3 linked regions of the Schizosaccharomyces pombe genome follow. The protein of the gene in region 2 purifies or fractionates together with the protein of the main gene of each other region. This does not show direct contact. Each region holds a gene or a part of one and is shown on either strand. Other genes may lie near its edges.

Evidence for each region.
Region 1: the proteins of ubp9 (region 2) and bun62 purify together in Schizosaccharomyces pombe (affinity purification with western blotting; one study listed by BioGRID). This does not show direct contact.
Region 3: the proteins of ubp9 (region 2) and bun107 purify together in Schizosaccharomyces pombe (affinity purification with western blotting; one study listed by BioGRID). This does not show direct contact.

Annotation. Positions count from the first base shown.
Region 1 is NC_003424.3:4,573,689-4,581,222, reverse strand, and holds bun62 (WD repeat-containing protein), read right to left. Parts: upstream 2,914-7,534; 5' UTR 2,597-2,913; coding exon 965-2,596; 3' UTR 501-964; downstream 1-500. Other genes in the region: pby1 (tubulin-tyrosine ligase), read right to left, coding at 1-399; acetylase Sdg1, read left to right, coding at 4,288-4,995; SPOM_SPAC12B10.01C (ubiquitin-protein ligase E3), read left to right, coding at 5,782-7,534. UniProt on the Schizosaccharomyces pombe protein: Required for the ubp9 recruitment to septa and cell tips but also for its enzymatic activity at these specific locations.
Region 2 is NC_003423.3:2,932,546-2,940,261, forward strand, and holds ubp9 (ubiquitin hydrolase Ubp9), read left to right. Parts: upstream 1-3,606; 5' UTR 3,607-3,665; coding exon 3,666-3,692; intron 3,693-3,736; coding exon 3,737-3,844; intron 3,845-3,893; coding exon 3,894-3,907; intron 3,908-3,935; exon of another isoform or gene 3,936-3,964; coding exon 3,965-5,573; 3' UTR 5,574-6,217; downstream 6,218-7,716. Other genes in the region: GTPase Ypt1, read left to right, coding at 444-454, 623-746, 798-845, 909-1,005, 1,165-1,496; mitochondrial outer membrane lipid metabolism regulator Opa3, read left to right, coding at 2,437-2,544, 2,610-2,767, 2,886-3,276; SPOM_SPBC1703.13C (inorganic phosphate transporter), read right to left, coding at 7,486-7,716. UniProt on the Schizosaccharomyces pombe protein: Ubiquitin C-terminal hydrolase involved in regulating actin dynamics and/or endocytosis at cell tips and septa.
Region 3 is NC_003424.3:410,194-419,004, reverse strand, and holds bun107 (WD repeat-containing protein), read right to left. Parts: upstream 4,015-8,811; 5' UTR 3,600-4,014; coding exon 3,320-3,599; intron 3,243-3,319; coding exon 634-3,242; 3' UTR 531-633; downstream 1-530. Other genes in the region: Ctf18 RFC-like complex subunit Dcc1, read left to right, coding at 1-246, 285-530; SNARE protein Sft1, read left to right, coding at 4,205-4,321, 4,376-4,534; rod1 (arrestin/PY protein 1), read right to left, coding at 5,131-6,921. UniProt on the Schizosaccharomyces pombe protein: Required for the ubp9 recruitment to septa and cell tips but also for its enzymatic activity at these specific locations.

The sequences.
Region 1 (7,534 bases), on a different chromosome or scaffold from region 2:
ATTTTCCTCCAGTTCTTGACGAAGTTCATAAGCTTCCATTAATGAATCATCAAGGAATTCTGCATAGTCTAATTCCAAAGAATAGGCTTCAGGCACCGATTTAGACAATATTGAATCCGGATGTTTTGCCAGGTACGTTATGACAGTACGCCAGAGGTATTCTTTCCTGATTAAAGCCTTGCGAATCACATAAGAGCAGCAAAGTTTTGTTTTTGGGTTCTTGTAAACTTCGTCAAAGTCGATATCTTCGTACTGTGCCCATTGAAAATTTGCTTCCTTCGCTGAATTTGTAAAAGTTAACTCTTTTCCACTATTCTTCAACGCAGATATGATTTTTGGCTCTGCATACTCGTCACGATAGTTGACATAAACTTTTATGTCTTTCTTAGTAGAAGACATGTACGAAACTACCTTCTTTGGACTTTCTAGAGTTGGGGTAGGAGGATACAACGAATATTAAAAAATATAAAAGCGCAATTCTTTAGTAGGGTGAAAGAAAAAATAGATCATAAATACATACTATACTAAAAATTACAAATAACATTAAAATTGGATAGCTTCATTAAGATTTGTCATATTGGGAATAAGAAGGGCTTTAACGATAACATCTATTGACAATATAACTAATACTTTATAGTTTGGGCTCTGAAATGAATAACTCTTCTCTTACAGTCTGTTAATGAACTTTGCATATCTTTAATAATTGTTTTTGCAAAACAAAGAGAAGACTTGAATATGTAAGGGAAAAAGCATGAGCTAGCACACCAACTGAAAAATTGAAAAGTGTTACTCAAAACACAAATTAAAATTTAAATATACAGATTTAAGATTAGTAGCAAAAGAGCTATAATCACTGTTAACCAAACGTCAGTATTTGAAAAAAGAAAAAAAAACATAGTTATACAGTAAGTACTATAATATTGAGAAAACAATGAACCAAAAACTTAAGGCATCTAATGTGTGTTTATGGACGTTGCCATGTTCGAATTCTTCCGTTTGTAGCACATGTTATCATACAGTCAGGATCAAAGAAGACGGAACTGAGAGGACTATCATCGACATCGTAAATGGTAATAGGTGATATAACAGGTATTAAAGAACGAGATAATGTAGGATGGATAGTAATATCGCCGTTCACATAATTTGAATTGTCAATTTCTGATCCCATTGTTAAATCACCGACATCATCAAAATCACTTATAGCTGGTTTAGAATTATTAGAATGATGATTCACATAATAAACTGCAGACTTGGGTCTATGAATAGCGCTCACACTGAAATCCCAGAGTAGTAGTTTTCTGTCGAGTCCTACACTAGCTATTCTATAATTATCATCATCACATCTCCAAGCATCAAATATCACATCGGTGACCCAAGATTTATGGCCTTGACAGCGAGCTACTAACTTTCGTAAAGGAAAGGAGTATATTGAAACCAGATCATCTTTACCTCCTATAGCGATAAATTTACCATCTGGAGACCAGGTGACACAGGTTAACCCAGCAAAGTAACTATGAAAAACATCAAGGACGTGTTCCTTCACAAAATCAAAAAGCTTCAATGTTCCTCTCTCAGAGACGAGTGCCAGGTATTGATAATCGGGACTGAAACAAAAGCCGTTAATCGGTGATTTTGAAAATGCATAGCAAGCAACCGGATTGAGTTTACGGTCATCTCGGTGATTAATACTTATGAGAATATTAAAGGTTCCTGGAGAACTAAGATATAAAGATTTTAGGTTTTTTTCCGGTACCACAATATGGAGTGGTTGCTCGTGACGATATTTGTCATAAAGCACAAGCCAACCATTGCGAAAAGATACCAAAAATTGAGAATCTTTGCCAGCAACCCACTTTATAGCGGTAACAGAGGAGCTATTCAGCTGTCCATTTTTGTTAAAGCGTAAATACTTGAAATTAATAGGATCATACCAAAGTACGTCGCCTGTATCAAACCCAATTATTACGTCCAAGCCCTTGGGACTTTTAGTAAAGGAATTTATATCATGGCAAACAGGTGATGCCCTTGGAAATTCCATTTTGAGTAAGGCAGAATGGGAATTAGCAGCACTCACATCAAGCCAATAAAACGATTTTTCGTGATTAGCAAACACAAAGGTTTTACCATGAATAGAAGGCTGAAAAGAACGTACTATGTTGTCATGAAATGTAAGGGAGGAGATAAAGGATTTAGCATTGATTAAAGGAGCACCAGCACGAGAGGCCGGTCTGTGAAGCTTCAAATAAGGAGTGTTAGAGGAAGAAAAGTTGTGGGACTTTCGTTTACTATTGCGATAATTTTCAAGAATTGAGGGGACATCTCTATTCTCTTCAACATGATGAACGCCATGAATTTTCTTAAGTTCTTCAATATATTCTCGTGGATAGGGGTAATCCCAACGGGAGAATTGAGCAATATTTATCCGCATAAAGAACAGACGTTTTACAGGCGTGTTTGGATCTAAAGGTGAACCGGTAATTTGAGGAGTAGAACGTGATGAACTGCCTAATTGAAATTCATCCTTCAAAACATATTCTCCCTCGCGAGCAGTTAAAAACAGAACCGGACGGGCAATTCCAGAAGACATCGTTTGCATAATATAGTTAGGTAAAGGATAAGAAGTGAAAGTTCTGCTGAAACAATCCAAATGGTAACGACCTCAAGTACTGAGAAGTTTCTATTCAATGAAGTCGTAAAAGACAATTAAGAAATGTATTTAAATTAGTGAATCTAGTAAGAAGAGCGATTTTTAAGCTACTGCTTTCTCTTTTATTAATCAATGAGAATTAAAATAGGAGTATACGAAATCGCATTCGAACAAATTAATTTATAATTAAAACTTATGCAGAAGACTGAATTTCCTGCAAAATCGTAAAATGTTCTTAACCGACTAGCTCGACCGTACAGTTTGTTGAAATCTTCTAAAGGAGTAGCGTGTCACTTATAATATGAAAGCGACATAAATAACGCTAATTAAAGAACAAACCCAATTTACGTTAATAAAAGGGTATGTGTTTCATTTTAACATTTATTGAAGCTGCTTGAGGTAAATATTTCAATACACTATTCTTTGCAATATTTGGATCAATCACATTTTTTAAAACTCATTAAATAGTTCAAATAAAGAACTCTTTAAACTTGCGTTAAAATATAGCAGATACATACTGCATTGCTTTGAAACAAAACTTTATTAGCACTTTGCACGATTATATTGTATCCCGTTAACCATCACTATATACTACGTGTCAGGAATTATTTACGTTTCTGTCCCCTTGGGTACTCTTCATTGCTTTTTTATATTCAAAAGCTATTTAAGAATAAGGATAATGCAATGGAACTTCTTTCTTTAGTATAGTTTTTAAGTTATTCGTAAAGTGTAATACTATTTAGTATCTATAATTCTTAATATAACCAAATCATTGGCAAATTAACTGTGTAAAATAATTTTGATCACTCAAAAAACTTATCGTTGTGTTATAGCTTTATAATGTTATGAGCTAGTTAGTAAGGCCCTATTATACAAGAATTTCGAAAACGGTGAAATTTGCAATATTTGTAACTTGCAAGAAGTGAAAATTCAGCATTTATACGTTTTGTGAGTGTAGTATATTTTCACTCTTGGTCAAAATAGGCACGCTGAAAGTAGTGTAATCTATGAAGCTTTAATTTATATAGTGAAAAATACTGTAAATGGATTTCCTATCCTTGGTTTTCGGATTCATGTAAAGTTTGTTATGCAATCTAATCGATGCATTATTACCTTCCCTATTTCTCTACTCAATTGCCATTTTTTTTAAATGTATATTCTGTTCCTATGTATACATTATACTCTTTTTATCCTAGGAATTATTTAAAGATTTAATATTCAAGCCTAAAAAAATTGTAGAAACTAATTATTTAGTAACTGAAGATATAGCTTATAAATCCAATTGTTATTTCAGCTAGAAATGTTACTTCGATCGTCACAATATTCTTTTCTATTCCTAAAAACATTTTAAAAGCTAGTTGACCCTAAATGTGATTTATCAATAGAATCAATAATCTCAATCATTTAATAAGAGGGTAGATTTGATCAAATTCTAGTTGTATGAAATTACAATTCGCAAAAATTGACTGAAACAACCAAGGGTTGGGTAAATCTATGGTGGTATAATGGCTTCATTCTTACCTACTCCACTTACGAACCTCCATCTTCTTAAATTTCACAGTAGAAGGTAATTGTAAAAGAAATATTGTGACAATAAATTTTAAAAAGATTAGCAAAAAAGAATATTTAATTACATAAAAATGTCGAATGTGCAACGTAAAAGAATTGATATTCGTCGTCCCACCCTTGCGGAGCTGTCGAGTATTCGATCGATTGCCATGAATGCGTTGAACGGTCAATCGAGAAATCTCTCTCAAAAAATCTTTTGGCACCCGTTGTATCTTGCGGTTTTTGGTTTGGTGTTTATGGGGATATATCGCTTAACAAACATGGTAGAAGGAAATACAAAATTACGAACTTTTGTTTTATTAATATTGGTTAGCGCTGTCTTTTTGACGTTGATTGAATTTCCCTGTAGAAATGTGTATGCAAAGATTAGCACTGAAGACAATCAACCTGACGGCTGCTTGGCTGAAGAGAATCTTAAACATTTTTATATGGCCCGCATTGACAAAGAACGAGTTATTGGTATTATAGGTATCTTGCCTGCAAATGCTCCTGGTGCATACCAAAACACACCAACTATTGTCCACTGGACTGTCATTCCTAAATTTTATCAGTATGCGTTTGATCTCCTAGATTCAGCACTTCGTGAGGCGAAGGAGATGGGTGCTGACGTGGTCTCAGCACGAGTTTATTCAACCGACCCAATGTTGAAGGCTTTTGAAAGAAAAGACTTTACTCCTGTAGTTGATGAAGCTTTCGATTATCTATCGTTTTTCGGATTGCGCCGTTTAGTGCTTCAAAAGAATTTGAGCGAACAACCTGGTTTTGAAAATAGAAGATAGATTATTTAACTTTCCGCAAATATTACCCTTTCGTGCATGTAATTGCGCAGCTACAACTTGTTTTTCGCTGTATGTTCATATTTTAAATCTTTTTGTTTTGTGTTTATTTTTTTCGTGAAATAGTTACGAAAGAATTTCACGACGTTCAAGTAAATTTCTACCTAGGGCAAAAACTAGACCCACCGTGTTGTTGAATAATTGTTAAAAGTTTTAGAAACTATTTCATTACGTCCGCTCCATGTTCAAGAGTTCGTACCCGCTAGACTGTACAAAACAATTTGAATGTAAACTTAATATTATATAACTGATGTATGTTAGTGAATACTAAGTGAGCATCTCATTTCACTATCGTCAATTATGCTTGTAAAAACACAATCGATCGACTACAAAAGTACGTTTAACGAGTGTGAATCAAAGCTGAATCAATAAATAAAATACAGCATCTTGCAAATAAAAAACAAATTTAAAAATATTTAATGACAGTAAAAGACAGAAAAAAACAATAGTACTTAGAGTAATAACGTATTACTATAACACATACTACGGCAACATAATGGTGCGCCCTTGTTGTCGACGCTTTTGCCATCTCCCTATGTCAACAGCACATTCCGCCTTAAACAAGAGATCATAGAAGGATCAAATTAAAACTGGGATTTTGTCTCCTTGGTTCAGAAATTACTTGATTGTTTTGTTGGATTGTAATTAACAATCACTCCAATCGCTCGCCGAAAGGCTTCCAAATTTTGTTTATTAAATTAGCCTTTCTGAGCGACATTTTGTTATTTCATGTCTGTTCAAGCGTATACGAATACTCCGAATTTACCGAATTTAATACATAGTGAATCTATAACCAACTCACCTGTGTTTATACCAAACCTACGAAGTAAGTCCGACAACAAACATAGATTAAACACTTCTGAAGAATTGCCATTTACAAAGAAACGCAGAGCAACTAAACATTTTTTAAAAATGGAGGTATCTGCCAAAATTTCTGAACCACCTTCTAGTAAAAGTGTGGAATTTGGAAGGCATTTAAATATGCGGCATGATTTTTCCGAATTGCTTGAACAACCACTTACAACGAGCAAAACTAGGGTCTTTAAATCCTTTAATGAAAAGCTCAAAGGTAAACCCCAGTTAGTGAAATCCGATAAAGGTGTGTTGCCTCTTAATAAGCAATCGGATATACTGAATTCTTATGAACGCGTTTTAAGCAATGCTTCGGTTGATTCTGCATTAGACAAAAAGGCGGAAGTTGATATCATTCCATTTGATAAATCAGTTATGGAACCAAAGAACATAACTTTTAATGACAAAAGTGGCTTAACCAAGTTTGGGAATTCAAACTCTTATGAAACTACGTATTCTGACTCCAGCAACTATCATACTTCTACTGATTCGTCCCAATATAATGACCAAGATGACCACGTCTATGATGATACTAATGATGGAACTGATGATGATATAAATAATAACGAGTACAAAGACGATGAATCCAGTAGTGGCAGTGAAAGTTATGAAAGAGATGAAGATGTTGATGAAGAGGAGGAAGAAGACGATGATGAAAACAATGATGAGGGAGACGATGAAGATGAAAATGAAAATGACGAGTTAAGAAGCGAAAACGGTTCACCTAATCCTTCAGCCGCTGTTATTAATGAACAAGAAAACATGAACATGAGTGGAATCGAAGAATACGATGAAACTAACTTGTTAAATGAACTGGGAAGAATCAGAAGAGGTAATCAGTTTCAAAGTTTAGCGTCTTCTATACTTTCTTCCGGTAATTTGGAGAACTCTGATGACGAAGATGTTTCTTTAGGTCCACAGACATACCGTTTCAATAGTTCCTTTCATCCTTTTCGTTCTGCATTTTCTGCTCCAGGTGTTCAATTTGGACGCTTGTTAGAAGGAATAAAGGATTTTAGTGATCCTACTGTTCAAATGCTTTCTCTTCAAGAACTTTCCGAAGCGTTTGCTATGAGTACTGAAGATATGCTTGTTGGATTGTTTTCAACCGATTCATACATTGCGGCTTTTTCCGAAATCTTATCTGGGCGAAATTATGATTTCGGAGAAGTCTCTATTCAACTTATGCTATCCTGTACTACCTGTGTATCTAATATGATGGAAGCTTTGCCTTTATGTATGGCTAAAATAGCATATAGTCCTATTGTTCGCATTCTGTGTGAAAGAATGTTTGATATGCAATACATTGATATTGCTGAACAAGCTTTAGGAGTTTTAGAACGGCTTTCTAAAGATTTTGGTATTTGTATTTTGGAACACAGAGGAATGTTAGCTGCTCTCCAATACTTTGATTTTTTTTATACTACAGTTCAACGGACAGCTATTTCTCTGGCTGCTAATTGCTGTAAGTTTTTGGATGAATCCAATGCTTCCGCAGCAGAAGAAATTATTCCATTGCTTTCTAATATTCTACAATCTTCTGATACCATAGTCGTTAGTAAGGCATATTCTTGCCTGGAGACAATTATTGAATCTTTGAAAACTTCACCAAACATAATTGAAACGATAA
Region 2 (7,716 bases):
AGAAAAGACTCATGTTTTTGTTACTCTTACTTTTTCAAGTATTTTTTTTTCCGTTATGACATATTATTTTCTCTGTTTTTAAGGAAGTATGTACTATTGTAGTCGCGATTTTGGCGTTCGTTTGTACAGTATGGATTTTAGTTAAGTATATTTACAATTTAAGATTGACTGTAAAAACTACAAAAAGTTATAATTTTATATTAATTAACTTGAGTGAAGCCTTTGTCTGCACATATAATATATTTGTTTTGAAAACATATGAAATACTACGGAAAGTTAAGATACGCTAAACGAAATAACGATACTTAATATAATTAGCAGCATGATAGTAAAAGATTTGCCCGTGAGCATTCTTTGGGCTGTAGGGTCCCCCACTCCGCTGCGTTGGTATATGCGTAGACTGAAGCGAGCAACAGAACGTCCGCCATTACTGTGCATATACGATGAATCCAGAGTAGTAAGGATTTAGCATACTATTCAATACATCAGGAGCTAGAAATTAACAATTTATAGAGTATTTTCTTTCCAAAATTAAAGAATTCTTGTAAATTGGGCGATATAATTGCTAATCAATAGGTAATGAGTTTTTTTACCGTAAGAAGATGAATGCTAATATTAATAGATACGACTATCTCTTTAAGCTTTTACTTATTGGCGACTCTGGTGTCGGTAAGAGTTGCCTTCTTCTACGTTTTGCCGATGACACTTATACTGAATCCTATATCTCTACTATCGGAGTTGATTTTGTACGTCCGTTTTCAAGCAGCTTAACCATATTTATTGCTAACTTTTTTTAGAAAATCAGAACTTTTGAATTAGAGGGAAAGACTGTTAAACTTCAAATCGTAAGTGATAGTTTACTTCTCGTTGGCGTTCCGGGATATTTTTTTATTAACGATTTATCATAGTGGGATACCGCTGGTCAAGAACGTTTCCGTACAATTACTAGCTCATACTATCGTGGAGCTCATGGAATTATCATCGTATACGATGTTACCGATCAAGGTATGTAATGTGTGAAGTATGGAAAACCAATTTGATTGTCTTCCGTTTTCTGTATATGCGCGTATATGCGTTATAAGGCGTTTGGGGGATATTTTTATGGCGTTTTCTAGTCTTCACATTGTTTCCGACGCGGTTCCGAGGCTAATGCTTGCTTCTTAGATTCTTTCAACAATGTTAAGCAATGGCTTCAGGAAATAGATAGATATGCCGTTGAAGGAGTCAATCGTCTTCTTGTAGGAAACAAGTCAGATATGGTTGATAAGAAGGTTGTTGAATATTCTGTTGCTAAGGAGTTTGCTGACAGTTTGAATATTCCTTTCCTCGAAACGTCTGCTAAAGATTCTACAAATGTTGAGCAAGCTTTCTTAACTATGTCCCGTCAAATTAAGGAACGTATGGGAAATAATACATTTGCCTCTTCCAATGCCAAATCTAGTGTCAAGGTTGGTCAGGGCACTAACGTTTCCCAAAGTTCCAGCAACTGCTGCTAAACTACATGTTTGTTGGTTATACCTCTGAATGCGCTTTTAATATATTTTTATATACATACGTTTTACGTACTTCGCTGTCATTCCTTTTGTGAGTTTCATTCGCTGACGGTGAACTGCTAATATTAGGTATCTACTTTCTGAGTTTTTACGATACTTATAGAAAGTTATTTGTAGGTTTGGATGCATGCTACGTTTCCCTTTTATCAACGGTAGTTTAAAATCTTAAGCAAAGCTATGTAGAAAACTGCTAGTCTTATGTACTTTATTTTGTAGCGTGATATGATAAACTGTTGTAAACGTTGTATAATACGCGTATTGCTCATTAACTAGCACTTTACAGTATTCCCTAAAACTATAGTTGCTTGGAACTATTTGCATAACATACGGTTCGCTAACAAAAGTCATTAACTAAAAATCAAATATATAATAGTAAGTCAAAGGTTGAATGGTATGTACGTTACATTAAGAAATGAAAATACAACTGTACTACTAAGGACAAGTATTGATAACTGCGACACTAAAGTTTCTAATACAAGCAAAATATTAAGCACACACAGGGATCGGTGTAAGAAGGATTAGTAAACCAATCAGAGAAACCGACAGAATATGCATATCAAGTTCAGCAACATCAAATTTACTTTCCTCTTCCAATAACTTTTCTAATTAATAGATTAAAAAAATAAAGCACGCACTTGGTGTTGCGGTTTTAAATATTGCTATTGATTAACGGAAGAGTATATCTTCGACCTTGCATAAATATCCTAGCTATTGTTACACGCTTATATCTGCATTCTAATTTTATCGGAGATTTCTTTCTTTTATACCTCTATTTAATTGAGGTGGTAGTACTTTTAGTCGGTAATTTGAAATCCTTTGCGGGTTTATTCCCCCTCGAATATTTTTGAAGTTCTGGTATCCATTAACATTTCTCTACAATCCAATGTCTTCTCTAGCCTTAAAAATCGGAAGCTTGTTAGTAAGAACATTATCCAAACCGATTGCCAATACAATCAAAGCCCAAGCTAAAGAGCACAAGGCTTTCCGAAAGGTATAAATCAGTAAAATAGATGATAAAGAGAATCTTATAGCATTACTAACGAAATTTCTATATAGGCATGTATTGAATTTGCTCAATGGATGCATCGCGCGGAATTTAGAATAACAGGAATTAACAGAGCTAAAAGTGGAGGAGCTAATGTACGATTACGACCTTTAAACGATGCCAAAGCAGTCGATGCTGGTGCAACATTTTTATCAGAAACTTTTATATTGTATGAAAATTAATACGATTTGACGTACTTCCTCTCCACAATGCTTAATACGGCACATTGTGAAGGAGCTACGAAATCCAACTTGTCACAATGTTCTTCTCTTGCTAACAATTTACAGTACTGTTGCTGGAGGAGCCATTTTATTTGAAACATGGAGGGCTCGTAGAAAGGAAAAGAATAGACGAGATGAAGTTGCTGAAGCGATTCTTGGTTTACAACATGAAATCGTTCGTATTAACGAAATCATGGAAAAGCAGTTTGTTTTACAGAAGAAAAAGAATGAACTCCAATCTTCGACTGAGGAAATTGATAGTACCGAAAAGGATTTTGACGAACTCCACAAAGTCATTCTTAAAGTTGAACGTGAGCTCCATACTCTTCGTCAAAACACGCCAAGTCAGAACGAGCAAGCAGAAGCCACTCCTTCAAAGGAAATCCCACGTGAAACAGTCTCAGAAAAGGCAGATCATCCTCCATCTTCTAACACCAAATCGGTTTCTACAGGTTAGTGGATGGTGAATACTACGATTACACATAACTTGCATTAATGAGTAAATTTTGATACATTGCAGAAATTCATCTGTTCCCATTTCACCAAACTGATGTTTACTTTCTTTTAATTTATTGTACATTTGATACTTCGTTTAACCAGATCACATTTCCAAAATTAGTTACGGTTTATTTATAGCTTTTTTGACTTAATATCTACTGAGTTTTATCGCTCATTTTACAATACATTGCACTTCGTTATTTTAGATAGTTGGCTGTTAATATAATAATAGCCTAAGATTATGATCACCAACGTACGCCCCTTTCTGAGCGCGTGAAAGCTTCCCTTTGCGTTCACTTCCCCGCTGTGCTTGGTTTGTAAACTTAGCATCCTTTAGTTCAACTCAGCATGTCGCTGCTTCGTTGGATGGGAATGGTAATTCAATTGTTAGTTATGAATTGAAGACTGACAAACTATAGAATTCCCCAGGCTCCACTGACCGGCGTAAAAGCACTTGGGAAGCAGAGTTGCCGAAGCCATCAATTCGCCCTGAAACCCTAACAGATCGATTCTATGGTTTAACAAATGTAAGCATTTTTATTAGTTATAATTTCTTCTGCTCTAACATATTTTTAGTATGGAAATACATGGTATGGCGATCATACTTGTAGCGTTGCTTTTATGATTGTAAATTTCTAACGAAATAGTTACGTGAGTTCTGTCTTAGTATCTTTATACCATTTAAAGCCCTTTCGTGATTCTTTAAATTCGTATCCTCTTCCGAGTGCTCCTCCAAATTTTAAAAGCGTTTGTACAAAAACCAACCATCCTGAATCATCTTCCTCACGACACAGTAAGAAAAAGAGCATGGAGAATAGGAAGTCCTCTTTATACGGGTCCAATGGTATAAATTCTTGCGGCTGTGTCGATATTAGTAACGTCGGCTCTGAATCCGGGACGAAGCATCAAATCGTTGTAGGCGAAAGCAATTGTTCTGCTTATGGAATGAAAGAAAACATATATACTTGTTTAAAGGATCTTTATTGCTCCGTAAGTTGCTGTGATTGTCGTTATGGTATTTGTTCTCCCGAGCGTTTTATCCAAGTTCTACGTAGAGACAATGAAGCTTTTCGCAGTACTCAGCAGCAAGATGCTCACGAGTTTTTTAATTTTCTTCTTAATTCTGTTACAGAAACTCTTGATGAATACTACGGTAATCATTCCGACGTGATGCATCCAAAATGGGTTCATTCTTTGTTTGAAGGAACGCTTACCAGCGAGACGAAATGTTTAACTTGTGAAAACATAACGTCAAGGGATGAAAGCTTTTTAGACCTTAGCATAGATATAGAAAATCACACTTCTGTAACTTCCTGTTTAAGGTCTTTTTCTGCTTCAGAGATGTTGTCCTCCAAAAATAAGTTTCATTGTGATGTTTGCAAAAGTTTGCAGGAAGCAGAAAAAAGAATGAAGATAAAAAAATTACCGAAAATCCTCTCATTACATTTGAAACGTTTTAAATATAACGAAACCCAGGAGGGCCATGATAAACTCTTCTATACTATTGTTTTTACCAACGAAATGAGATTATTTACTACCACCGAAGATGCAGAGAATGCTGAAAGAATGTATTATCTTTCCTCTGTTATTGTTCACGTAGGAGGCGGTCCACATCGTGGTCATTATGTGTCTATCGTTCGCACTAAAACTTATGGCTGGGTCCTTTTTGATGACGAGAACGTAACTCCTGTCAACGAGAATTACCTACAACGATTTTTTGGTGATCAACCTGGTCAGGCTACTGCCTATGTTCTATTTTATACTGCTGCTGATGAAGAAGATGATGATGTTAGTGAAGTAGACACCAAGGAATCAATTAAGCCGATGTCTATTCCAAGTCAACTTAAACAAGAAAGCGTGGAAGTTTCGAATCTATCAAGTACCCCTAGATCAAACTCGACAATAACATATCCTGATATGGATCCGATGGTTGCTTCATTTTCTTCGCAGTATTCTCATAAAACTTTAGATAGAGACATCAATAGCCGTTCTTATTTTGATCGTGAACCATCACTGGATGCAGAAAGATTTCATTCAAGATCTGTTGATGCTTCTCCAAAAGCCGTACGTCGCGAAAGTCGTTCGTTTTTCCCTTCCCTTACACGAAAAAGAAGTAAATTTTTTGGATCATCCCAAAGCAACTCCCCTAAAGATTCACCATTAAGGGATACTCACAAGTCTAGTGATGAACATTCAGAGTCGAAGCACTCACATACGCTTCCTTGGCAATTCTCTAGAAGCCGTTCCAAAAGGTAAAGAATTCTTATTTGTGTTTTTTATTACACTTTTCGAGAAATTCTTTTAATGTTTTCATCTCTCATCGTTTTACTTTATATTTTTGACTTTATTTGGAAATTTTGGCCAACTTTGAAAGTCATGCGCTCTATTTATCCATATGTCACTTTTTTAATTCTTTGAATTCAGTTATTTCTCTGTGTTTATACCTTTTGGCCTTTTTCTGGTTTTTATAATATTGTTTACCGCTCGAGGTTTCATTTTTAACACACGCGTACTACAGTGATTGGTCTTCGTAATTATCTGTTGCGGTATTCAATTTTTGCTATTATGTCTTTTTATAATTGAAAATTTATGACTTTAAACTCCTAAAAGTAGCTTATCTGCTATTTCTTCTCGTTGTTCCCAATTTGAACGGCAACCTTCATACATCGAATTCGAAATTTTTTGGTTGTGACAAATTAATCGATTAAGATTATCTTACTCCTTGTCTTAGCATGAATTTAAGGTAATTAGTGTGCTTAGAATTGTTAATATTATTAATCATGATACTGCAAAATTTACTTGTTGTTTTCTTAAAGATACTATTTACCATGCATATATTATCAATTTTCTTAAGTATACTTTGAATAGCATATTTCAATATAGAGCTTTTCTTTAACAGATTTTTATTTATTTCATTATACATTATTTCATTTTATTTTTATTCATATCGACTTAATGTAAAGCAGCTTTATAATTTAAAAAATTTAGTTTGTTCAATTTTCAGGACAATTGGATGCTAAGTGTATTTTCTGAAAATGGTCTTGAAGTTGTTACAGTATTTGGTTCCTTATAGAAACCATTGTTTTAAGGCAACTTTTTTTTTTTTTAAGGGTTGTAGTATTGTTTAAATTATATGCTTAAGCAATGAAGAGGTTCCGATCTAATAATTATTTAAGTCTATCTTGTAAACTTTTCCGGATAAAACAGGATATGTGTTTATTTTCAATTTTAAAGCTTTATATAAATTAGATTTTTTAATTGAAAATGAGAAAAATTTTTTTAACCTAAATTCTACATGTTTATTTGCTAAAAAACTAGGGAACTTAGGATTTAACAATAATTAATAATAGTTGATCGACCCTTCTTCTAATTGAAATAACAAGTTATAATAGAATTAATTTTTTAACAATGAAAAGTATCAATGTACAATGACAATCCAAATTTAATATAACAATCAGACCTGATTTACGTTTTGGTAATCGAAATGCATTATTCTTTTTGTAAGCTATATACGAAATTTTGTTAATGTAGTATTTATTCAAGGTTAATAAATTTAACATCAAAGCGATTAATGCGAGGAATATTGATAAAAACAAAACACTACAGAAGCCAATGAAGGTTTAACATCGAATAGTTAACACAGTACTACACATGAGTTGTCGAACAAATTATATTATGTCAACTGTATAATCGCAATTTAGTCAATTGCGATTTAAATAGTTAATGGAACCAGGATTAAGAAGTCAATTAATATTTGTATGAATTGAATCTCTTATTGCATATCTAATATTGTAAACACTTCTTGCTAAATCATCTGTAATATAATTTCCTCTTACTCTTTACATGCAAATTGGCCGTTTGGTCTAGTGGTATGATACCATCTTAGGGTGATGGTGGTCGTGGGTTCGATTCCCACAACAGCCCAAATTTTTATGACTCACTTCATTAGTTGAAAACGCTAAAATACTAATCACATCTTCCATAAGCTGATATATACTCCTGAAAACACTTAAGAGTTACAGAAAAAGGAACTACACGTTCAAAATTTACATATAAATTTAAACACTGATAAAACAGTAAAACTTGTTAAGAGCCTATAAGAGAAAGTGGGGGGAAATTTAAAAAGCGACGTTCCATAAAATGAAAGGTTTACTATACGATAGTGCATTTAAGCACCAGTGGCAGGGAAACCACACATAATCTTGAATGAATCGTAGATGAGCCATTGAGCACCAGTCAAAGTACCAATCATGACTATACGAACACCAAGACCATTCCAAAGACCAGAAAATCCAATCTCCTTGTAGATACGAGCAGCAGCAGCGCCAGCGCCCTCACCAGCCTTTTTGTTGGAATTCAACTTGGAAACCATAACATCAGCAGGATGACTGATAATGGC
Region 3 (8,811 bases), on a different chromosome or scaffold from region 2:
AAGCCAGCTATGGATGACGAATTTGATTGGGATTCAGTAATTTGTGTTCTTGAAAGTATCTCTTCACCCATTAAGGACAATGTCTTACCTAAAAAATTCAATATCGATTTAGAGTTGACGACTTTTTGGTATGGGCGATTTTTGTTAGAAGGCATCAACAGTATAAGCTCCGATGAGTTCATTCAGTTATGGGATAATCGTCTTCCGTATCCTTGTAAAGGACTTCCTTCTTTGAATTTATTAAAGGTAGGGCATTTTAGTCAGCTAATGCTAAAACTCTTTAGGGTTATTATTTTCACGATACCCCAAATACGATTCAGTATTTATCAGGAGATCAGTTACCGAGAGAACCAAGTAGGCGGTTTCAATCTTTGTTTCAACTTAAGTCGAAATGGTTATATGAAGAACTTTGGAGTTTCGTTAAAGATCTTGCCTTGTCGAAATCAAGAGTTGAAGCTCTTATATTGAAATATGGGCGAAAACAAACCAGTAGGGACGGTGTTTACATTAATTCTAGAGGGACATGGTAAAACCTTATTTGGCCGGTACTATACAGGTTGAAAACTTGATTTTATTGTACATTATTTTCGACAGGATTATGAAATCAATTAAAATTTTAATCAAACTTAAGTTTTAAATATTAAGACTCTGGGTTTTATCAACAATTTCTGAAACAGATCTAGGAGCAACATCATAATGAAAGACAACGTCGTCTCCAGATCGCCAAATTCGAGCCTTAACAGTTGCCAATGTCATTTTGGGGGTAACGACGACATCTTTGCATCTAAATTGAAGGGATGATACATCCTTTCTTTGTTGGCTAAGCTTGCTATAGCTATAATCCATAATTTTCTGAGCACGAAGCATAGCACTAGCACTTAAACGAGTGTTTTCATTTACAATAAGCGGTAAACCACTTCCAGGAAAAGGCTGAAGAGTAAAATTAACAGTAGGGGCAGTTTTAGAAGGAAATTCGTTTAATAACAGTAATCTTCCAAGCCAAAAGGGCATAATATTTTCAAGTAAGTCAATATCGTCAGCCATGTTCTCAAGAGTAGAACGATATATGTCACGAGAATTACCGGCTTCAGGAGATTCTTCGCTGATGATAACAGTAATCTGACTCGAAAGATTTAACATGGGAAACGTATCATCGTTTGGTGGTTTCATTAAACTAAGAACGGTGTCTTTATCCTTAAAATGTACATATTGTTCATGAAGATCTTCAATCAACTCACCAGTCGTTTTCAGCTCTCGCGGGGTACCAGGTGATGATGCCTCTGAAGTTTGTTGCTTATCTTTAGCTAGTGTGTTATTTTCTGTATTTGCAGCATTATTAACAGTATTATTAGTTTTAGACAATGCTTGCGGAGAAGTTACCGAAGTCCCGGTACTGAAAACGCGGCTTGACGCAGCTCTCTCTACAGAAGCTTTCATAAAATCGGTTTGTAATGATTTGGATGACTTTGATCTTCCAAGTTTTTTAAGTCTGCCCATAAATGAACCTTCACGAGTTACTTTGGGGGGAATTATCTCTTTCGTTCTCACAACAGTAGGGGATCCAACTACCTCAGTATGTGGCTTTCTGTTACGATTTTGCCTGGCGGGGATCGAAAAGTAATCTGGCGCACCCATCATAGAATCTGTATCTGTTAAATTTGTGTAAACGGGGTTGTTTGATGGAATTTGAAGAGACGGACCAGGACTTTCGGGGGGAGGCTCGAGGGGGAATGGGGTAGCGGAATAATCTATAGTAGGAGAAAGTAAAGGTTCTGGAGGAAGAGATAAAGGTGATGGACGAGATCGAATCCTCAATGGAGACAAAGCTGATGGCATATTCACATTTCCCTTTCTTGCTTCTTCTCTCTGGGCTTCTATCTGCTTCTTAGCTTCAGACCTTACAACATCTAAATTTTGTCTAAATTTTAAATCACGATGAAGCTCGGCATCAATAAATTCACGAAATAAATTTTTTAAAATCCACACCCCTAAGTTTATTCTTTTATCAGAAGGGGAATCAACCTTCAGAAGAGGACATTCATCAGCATAAATTTCGGCATCCATGTAGTGATTTTCATCAAGAGTAACAGCAAGAATCCCCAAAAGGCAATTAACAGAAGCCCACCTAGGTATTGCTTGAACAGTATCCAAACTTTGAACAATCTTTTCAAAATCTTCTGACTTATCAAATTCCCCGGCTTGCTTACAAGCAAGTATATCCCACAAACATTTATTGCCGACAGCGTCTTCAGTTAAGACATGCCTTCGATCACCCAACATTCGATATTTTAACAAACCAATACCACCATGAATAACATAATCAGGGGTTTTGGTTAAATTGATGTTAGAATAGCTCTCAGTATGATGCAAATCATAATATATATCCTCAGCATCGTCGTGATATAATGTTGGACAGCTATGATTTCGTATGTCAGAAGAATGTCTCGAGGGACAGTCCGATGATACAGAAAGATGAGATGAGGTATGCTTAGATAATGCTGCTCCCACGTCCTGATTAAAGAGGGGCTCATCCTTCCAACGAAGAATGGAGCCATCACGACTAGTACTCCATATGAAAGATTGACGAGCAACAATGTCAGAGACAGGAGCATCCTGCTTGCATATTGCAGTACAGCTTTGGTTGTTAGGCTGGTTTCTTATATCAGTACGAGTAATCAAGCCTGAGCGATCACCAGCATAAAATACTTTTAAATCTGGGTGCTCAGAATATAATGCCCATACACTGTCTGAATGAGCTATGAAAGAGAATAAACATTTTTGCGCCCTTAGAGACCAAAGCTTTATTGTAGCGTCTGAAGAGGCTGTGAGAATTGTTCTGCCATCATCACTAATTAGAATATCTCGAACATTGTCAGTATGACCGACTAAATCTGTAATCCTTTTCTTGGAAACACAATCCCATAACTGAATGTCTTTTTGTAGTCCGCCGTTAGCAATTATGTTGTTATTCGCTGCCAGCGAGTAAACACCAGATCTTGGACCAACAACAAGAGAACAGTCAGGTAACTGTTCAAATCGCATAACTTCTTGACCTACGTTGTAGTCCCATACAATTATCCTTTTATCCAACCCACCCGAAGCGACTAACGGACTCTTGGAATATTTGGGAATGCTTACGCGCTTTACGTAGTCGGTATGCTCGCCAATTGTTGATAAACAAGAAGCATTCAAGACATGTGGCTTCCAGAGTTTCACCGTTGAATCAGAAGAACAAGATATCACTAATAAATGTTAGAACGTCAATTTCTATAAGGCTACCGCTATTCTCCAGAGATAATTAAATTTTTCAAAGGCTTACCTCCTTCGGAATCATGTGTTAAAGCTATATCATTTACCCAAGCAGAATGAGCCTGGATTTTGGCTAAGGGCTGGGAAGCTTTACCATAATCATACCCGATGTCCCAACCGAAAAGCTGTCCATCTCGGCCACCACTGTAAAGTGCTCTAGTAACTGGTGCTGACCCTTGTTCTGAAAAGTACCGACCTAGCACTAGACAATTAGCATCCAAACGGTGCCCTAGTTGATCGTTACAGGAATCAAGAACATAAGTAACCTTGTACCGTTTCCGAACACTCATGAGAACAATAAATGAATTATTAATCTCTTAAAACAATGCAATTATAAACAAAAAATCCAATTCAAACGTAAAAAATAAAAATTTATATTATATGATGTCGAATTCAATTTATTGAATGAATTCAGGTTCAAAAGTATTGCAGAAAGATAGTGTGTCCTGAGTCTAAAACGCAGCGGATAAATAAACCCTTTTACTTGGAAACAGGAAACAGTAATGGATCCAAATATTTTGGTAGCGAGTACCTATACAAATATATTATATGTTTTGACTTAGCGATGAATAGCAATTCCTCAAATAACTCAGATGTTAAAGAACGGATCCTACTGCTCATTAAAAATGGATGGAAACGATGAACTTCCAAACCATTTACCTACTAATAAGTAGTCCGATCGATATTGGCATTTGATAAAGCAATAATTAGGCGGCTGATGCTAAGAATTGTAGATAACATTATGTTTGAGCTCGACGAAAATAGAATCAAGTTAGGAGATTCGTTAAAGGATTTATCACCACGTCCTAAATGTCGTTAAATTTTGGTAGTACTCCAAGTGATATAGAAAGATGCTAACGTATGTACATTCATTTTTGTAAAAGTTATTTCTATAATGAATGATCAAAATGAGCGGCGTTTGGAAACTCTGTCTGGGCAGGTTTCTTCTTTGAAAAACGTAACCTACGATATTTATTCCCGTGCCAATGACTATACTCGAATTGATCGGGCTGTATGTAATTTAAAAAAAAAAATTTGAGTTTTTACCTAACCTGTATTATTATAGACTGAAAGCTTTTCAGGACTTTCAAATTCTGTTAAAAAATCCACCGAAAATTTCTTCCGTGTGGTTCGAAGTGCCGGACGACGAAGAATCATGACAATGGTGCTGGCAATCGTAGGGAGTATACTAATAATCTACTATGCATCCAAATGGTTTTTTTAACACGACATGAAAGCGAATGCTACATAAAGGAACGGATATAATGACATAACCTCCTGCTTCAAAATTATAAAATGTACAAGCTTTGAATTCTTATAGGCAATAAATTTATCGATGAATATTCTGAAGATAAATTTGAAAATATAAGCGCAGAATTACATGAAATATTCTTAACGAAATACTACTCCTTCCTCGAAATTTCAATAAGTCCACCATAAAAGTAAAAATAATAAAAAATTTAATTATGACTGTATATCCATATTAAGCTTGATATTCCTCACTTTTAGGAAAGAGTTTTAAGCAAAGAGACGCAGTACTAATTGAATAGAATCATGACATTGTGCCACAAACTAAGTATTCATTCACCTTCAACCGGCAAAAAAAAAAAAAAAAAGATCAAAAGGAAGGGCACAAAAATAAATAATAATAAAAATTTTAACACCTTAGCTTCACGTTCAAGCTTTGTGCATGCAGACCATGAGATGTTTGTATTGATTTAGGCTTTTTTAAGAACACAGCATTCAAATGTACGGAAGTACAGGTAATGAATACTCTTTTTCCGATGTTTGCGCAAAAATTTAAAAATAGTGCTCAAAACTTCAATTTCTTCTTGAAAATCCAGATGGAAGCATACGCGCCCGTCTTAAAGCGTCTAGTGCGTTTCGGTGACTTCCTACACGAGCTGATGTGGGCCTATGCGGGGCAGAAGACGATCCATTTGGATTGGAGGCTTGAGAAAGATGAGCTAAAGAAGCACTACTGTGAGATGGGCTTATACCCGAAGAAGAAGATGTGGAGTGTTCGAATGACCTACGACTATCCAAGGATTGTCGTGTACTTTCAGTTGGAGAAACAAAAAATGAAGGAGATGTACGTTGTGGTGGAGTAACGATACCAGGTGATGGAGGACGTGAAAGGTGCTCAATTCGTGCAACATCTTCATAACTAGGTAATGTTGATTGTAAGGGTGATTCTAATGGAACGGCTGATCTTGTTGCTTCCTTATAAGAAGGGACTCTGCTCAGATCTGCCAAACTAGTTTCTGAAGGGTTTCTAGTAATTACAGCAGAGGCAGCTCCACTGGATGGATTAGAGCCTAAACTGAAAGAAGGCGGGAAATCTTCAGGATGATTTGACGGTGAATGTTCGTTGGGGCTCCTTCCTTGCGGTTGTTGTTGTAGAGCCAACTCTGTCAAACCAGCAATGAGTTGTCGCCTATGAGCTTCATTAGAAGCATAGGTGGGCTCCATAGAATCGCGTCGCCTTGGTGTAGTTGCGCCACTAGGGAGAGGTGTATCAAGGTTGGAATAGCTCAAACCATCGTAAAGACGATCATACATGCTGTTTTGATAGCTAGGTAAAGGCTGATTAAAACTTTCAAAATTCTCGCGTAACGACTCTACTTCGGCACGATCGCCAAATAATTGAGGAGGTATCATCAAGACTACAGGTAATGCAGCTCTTAATTCTGATATATGGCCATCAGGATTTCTTAGGGAAACGGAAAACTTTAATTTGTGACGTATTTTAATTCCATCCAAATCACAATCCTGAAGACATTCCACAAGAGAACTTGGTAGTTCCAAGTTCTTTGTAAGTTCATAGTGATCGGAAAACTCCTCCAATTCTTCGGTTTGAAGAGAACGAACGGTCCTGACTTCATCTTTCGATGCCGGTAAACCGTTATATCCATGAGCGACATGCAACGTGATGTATTCTTTCAAGGTTATACTGATTTTTCCAATAGTTAGCCTCTTCAGCAACGGAACTAATACAAAATGAATGGGAATATATGACCCAATTGCATAGGCTTTTGTTGGAACGCTGATGGTATACTCAATTTTGTTTGGCCAAGTATTATCAACGCTAATGGTTTGAGTATATTCAATGGCATCCGCAGGCAATGCTCGAATAAGACGGATGTGTTTCTTTTTCACCATTTTGCTAGCTAAACCCGTTCTATCGATGCTTGCTTTAAGACGATAAACAACATAGCAACTTTGAAGACCTTCGACAGATTCAGCAATATCACCGGGAAGCATTACGTGAAACGGATACTCGTAGTTTCCAGCACGTAAAGTACGGTTGGCACCCGTATAAGGAACGAAGATCCAGTTTTTCTCGTAAACAACATATTCTTGCTTATTGTGTCTTTGGCCGCCTCTTACAGTCGGAGAAGGTTCTGACCAGGAGATGCGACATTTTCCCACTAGTTTTAGAGATATTGCTTTGACACTGATGGCTTCATTGAGACACAGAACTACAGATCCTGACAGTGGTGTCGGTTCTGCCGAGTCTGCTAGGCCTTGAATTACGATAAGATCATGCTCTGCAGCTACACGAATATCGAAGTAGGAAGCGACATTTTCTTTCCTTGAGAGAATATTCATCTCTAACACAAGGAACCAATTTTATATTTGAAAAGGGATTCAAAAGTAAGAATAATGAATTCTCTCTGAAATATTTAGTCAACAATTTTATGTAAATAACTATTACAACCCAAAAGACCCCGGCTTTGGATTATTTGAGAATGTACTACCCTGAAACAATTAGACAAAAAAACGAAAAGTACCGTGTTAAAAAATTTCCCTTAAAATTTGATTTGTGTATACAAAAATGCAAAAATACTTTTTCTTGGGGTTTATAACTTCAATAATGTAGACAAAGCGAAGGTTAAAGGACTGTTGTGTGGTGACGTTTTTATAAGCAACCTGCTGTAATATAGTATTACATACTTTCTCACATTACATAAACAAAGTTTAGCTAGTTTCGTTATACACACTATTGTGTAAATTTTAAACAATTTTAGATGTTTCACTAGTTTGTACGAAGTAAATAAAATTTTTAAAATAGTCGTGTTTTTTATATATTAAGCGGGACTGTTTTCGTATCCCTCATTCATAGCTATGCAACGAAATACCCGGGCAAGCTTGATTCAGTGGACAAGGTACGTTATTGGGTTTTACTAGAGACAGATGTGCAGAATATTGGTAAGAACCTTCTTTCCCCACTTTAAACTTTTCATTACATTTTTTCTTAAACATCACATAGTAAAAATAAGTGCTATGCGTTTGAATTTTTCAGTTTTTTGCTGTTTATTGATACCTTCAATCGACTCTCATTCACCATCGATATATAACAAACTCCTTTCTTAACTAACCCCTCTACTCTATAAACATTAGCACAACTTAATCTTCAGTTTAATTGAAATTAAGTATCCCACATTGTACAAATACAATATAGCAAATATGAGTGGCTAGAATAATACAGCATTAAAAGTTTGAGTTTTGAGTGTTAACCAAATATTTAATAAGCTTTATGATTAGTAAAGGACAGTAATCCTGAGACACGCTTAATAGTCAATAGCACCTTTTTGGTATTATTATTTGAATCTCGTGTAGTGTGACTCGCTTTCTATAGCCTCATTGAACTTTCCATCATTATAGCAAAACTTTTAATTCACAATGCATTACCGTTTTTGGAATCAATTCGCAAGACTCTGATATATATCGAGGAATGGTTTATTTTCATTTTAATTTATAAGTGTGCCTCTGAACAATTACGAATTATAGATGTGGATATCATTGACGTCTCATTGTTATTATTTTTTACATTGCTAGTGTGTTTCCTGCTTCTGTTATAAATGTTGCACAACTTGTAGAGCTATTAAAAAAAAATATTATTTTAGATGTTTCTATAATATCAAATATCGTTACGTATCCATCGAATAATTACAAGAAATTAAGACTAAACCCAGATTACAAACCTCTAATCAAATGCAACTGCTGAATCCAATCCCCCCACTTAACGTATTGCTACAATAATCTGATCCAGTGTTATGCTACAATTATACACTATCTCTGAATTAACGTAATGGAGCATTAATGATTTTTAAAAAAGGTAATACTTTCGCTAGTTTGTATAGCAAAGCAGTCAAGTCACTTCTCCACAAAGGCAGGTTAGGAGGTTACCAAATGTTTGGGTAAATAATTAGACGTATGCATGTAATAAGAAAGAAAGTTGTACTAACGTAGTTACTAGGTGTTAAATAAAGCTTTATCCTTTATTTTTTATTTTTTAATAGTACCTAAATTGTATAAGTTGGAAACCAAAAAATAATCTGTAAGTAAAGAGAAAAAATTTGTTCATAAATTCGAATAGCGACATTAAAGCAAATTTTCTTTGTATAAATTAAAATTAAAAAAAATTTTAATCTTAAATGTTTACATCGCGAACAGTAATGTAAAAAGTTGCACAATTGGCAAAATCAAATTTAGGAA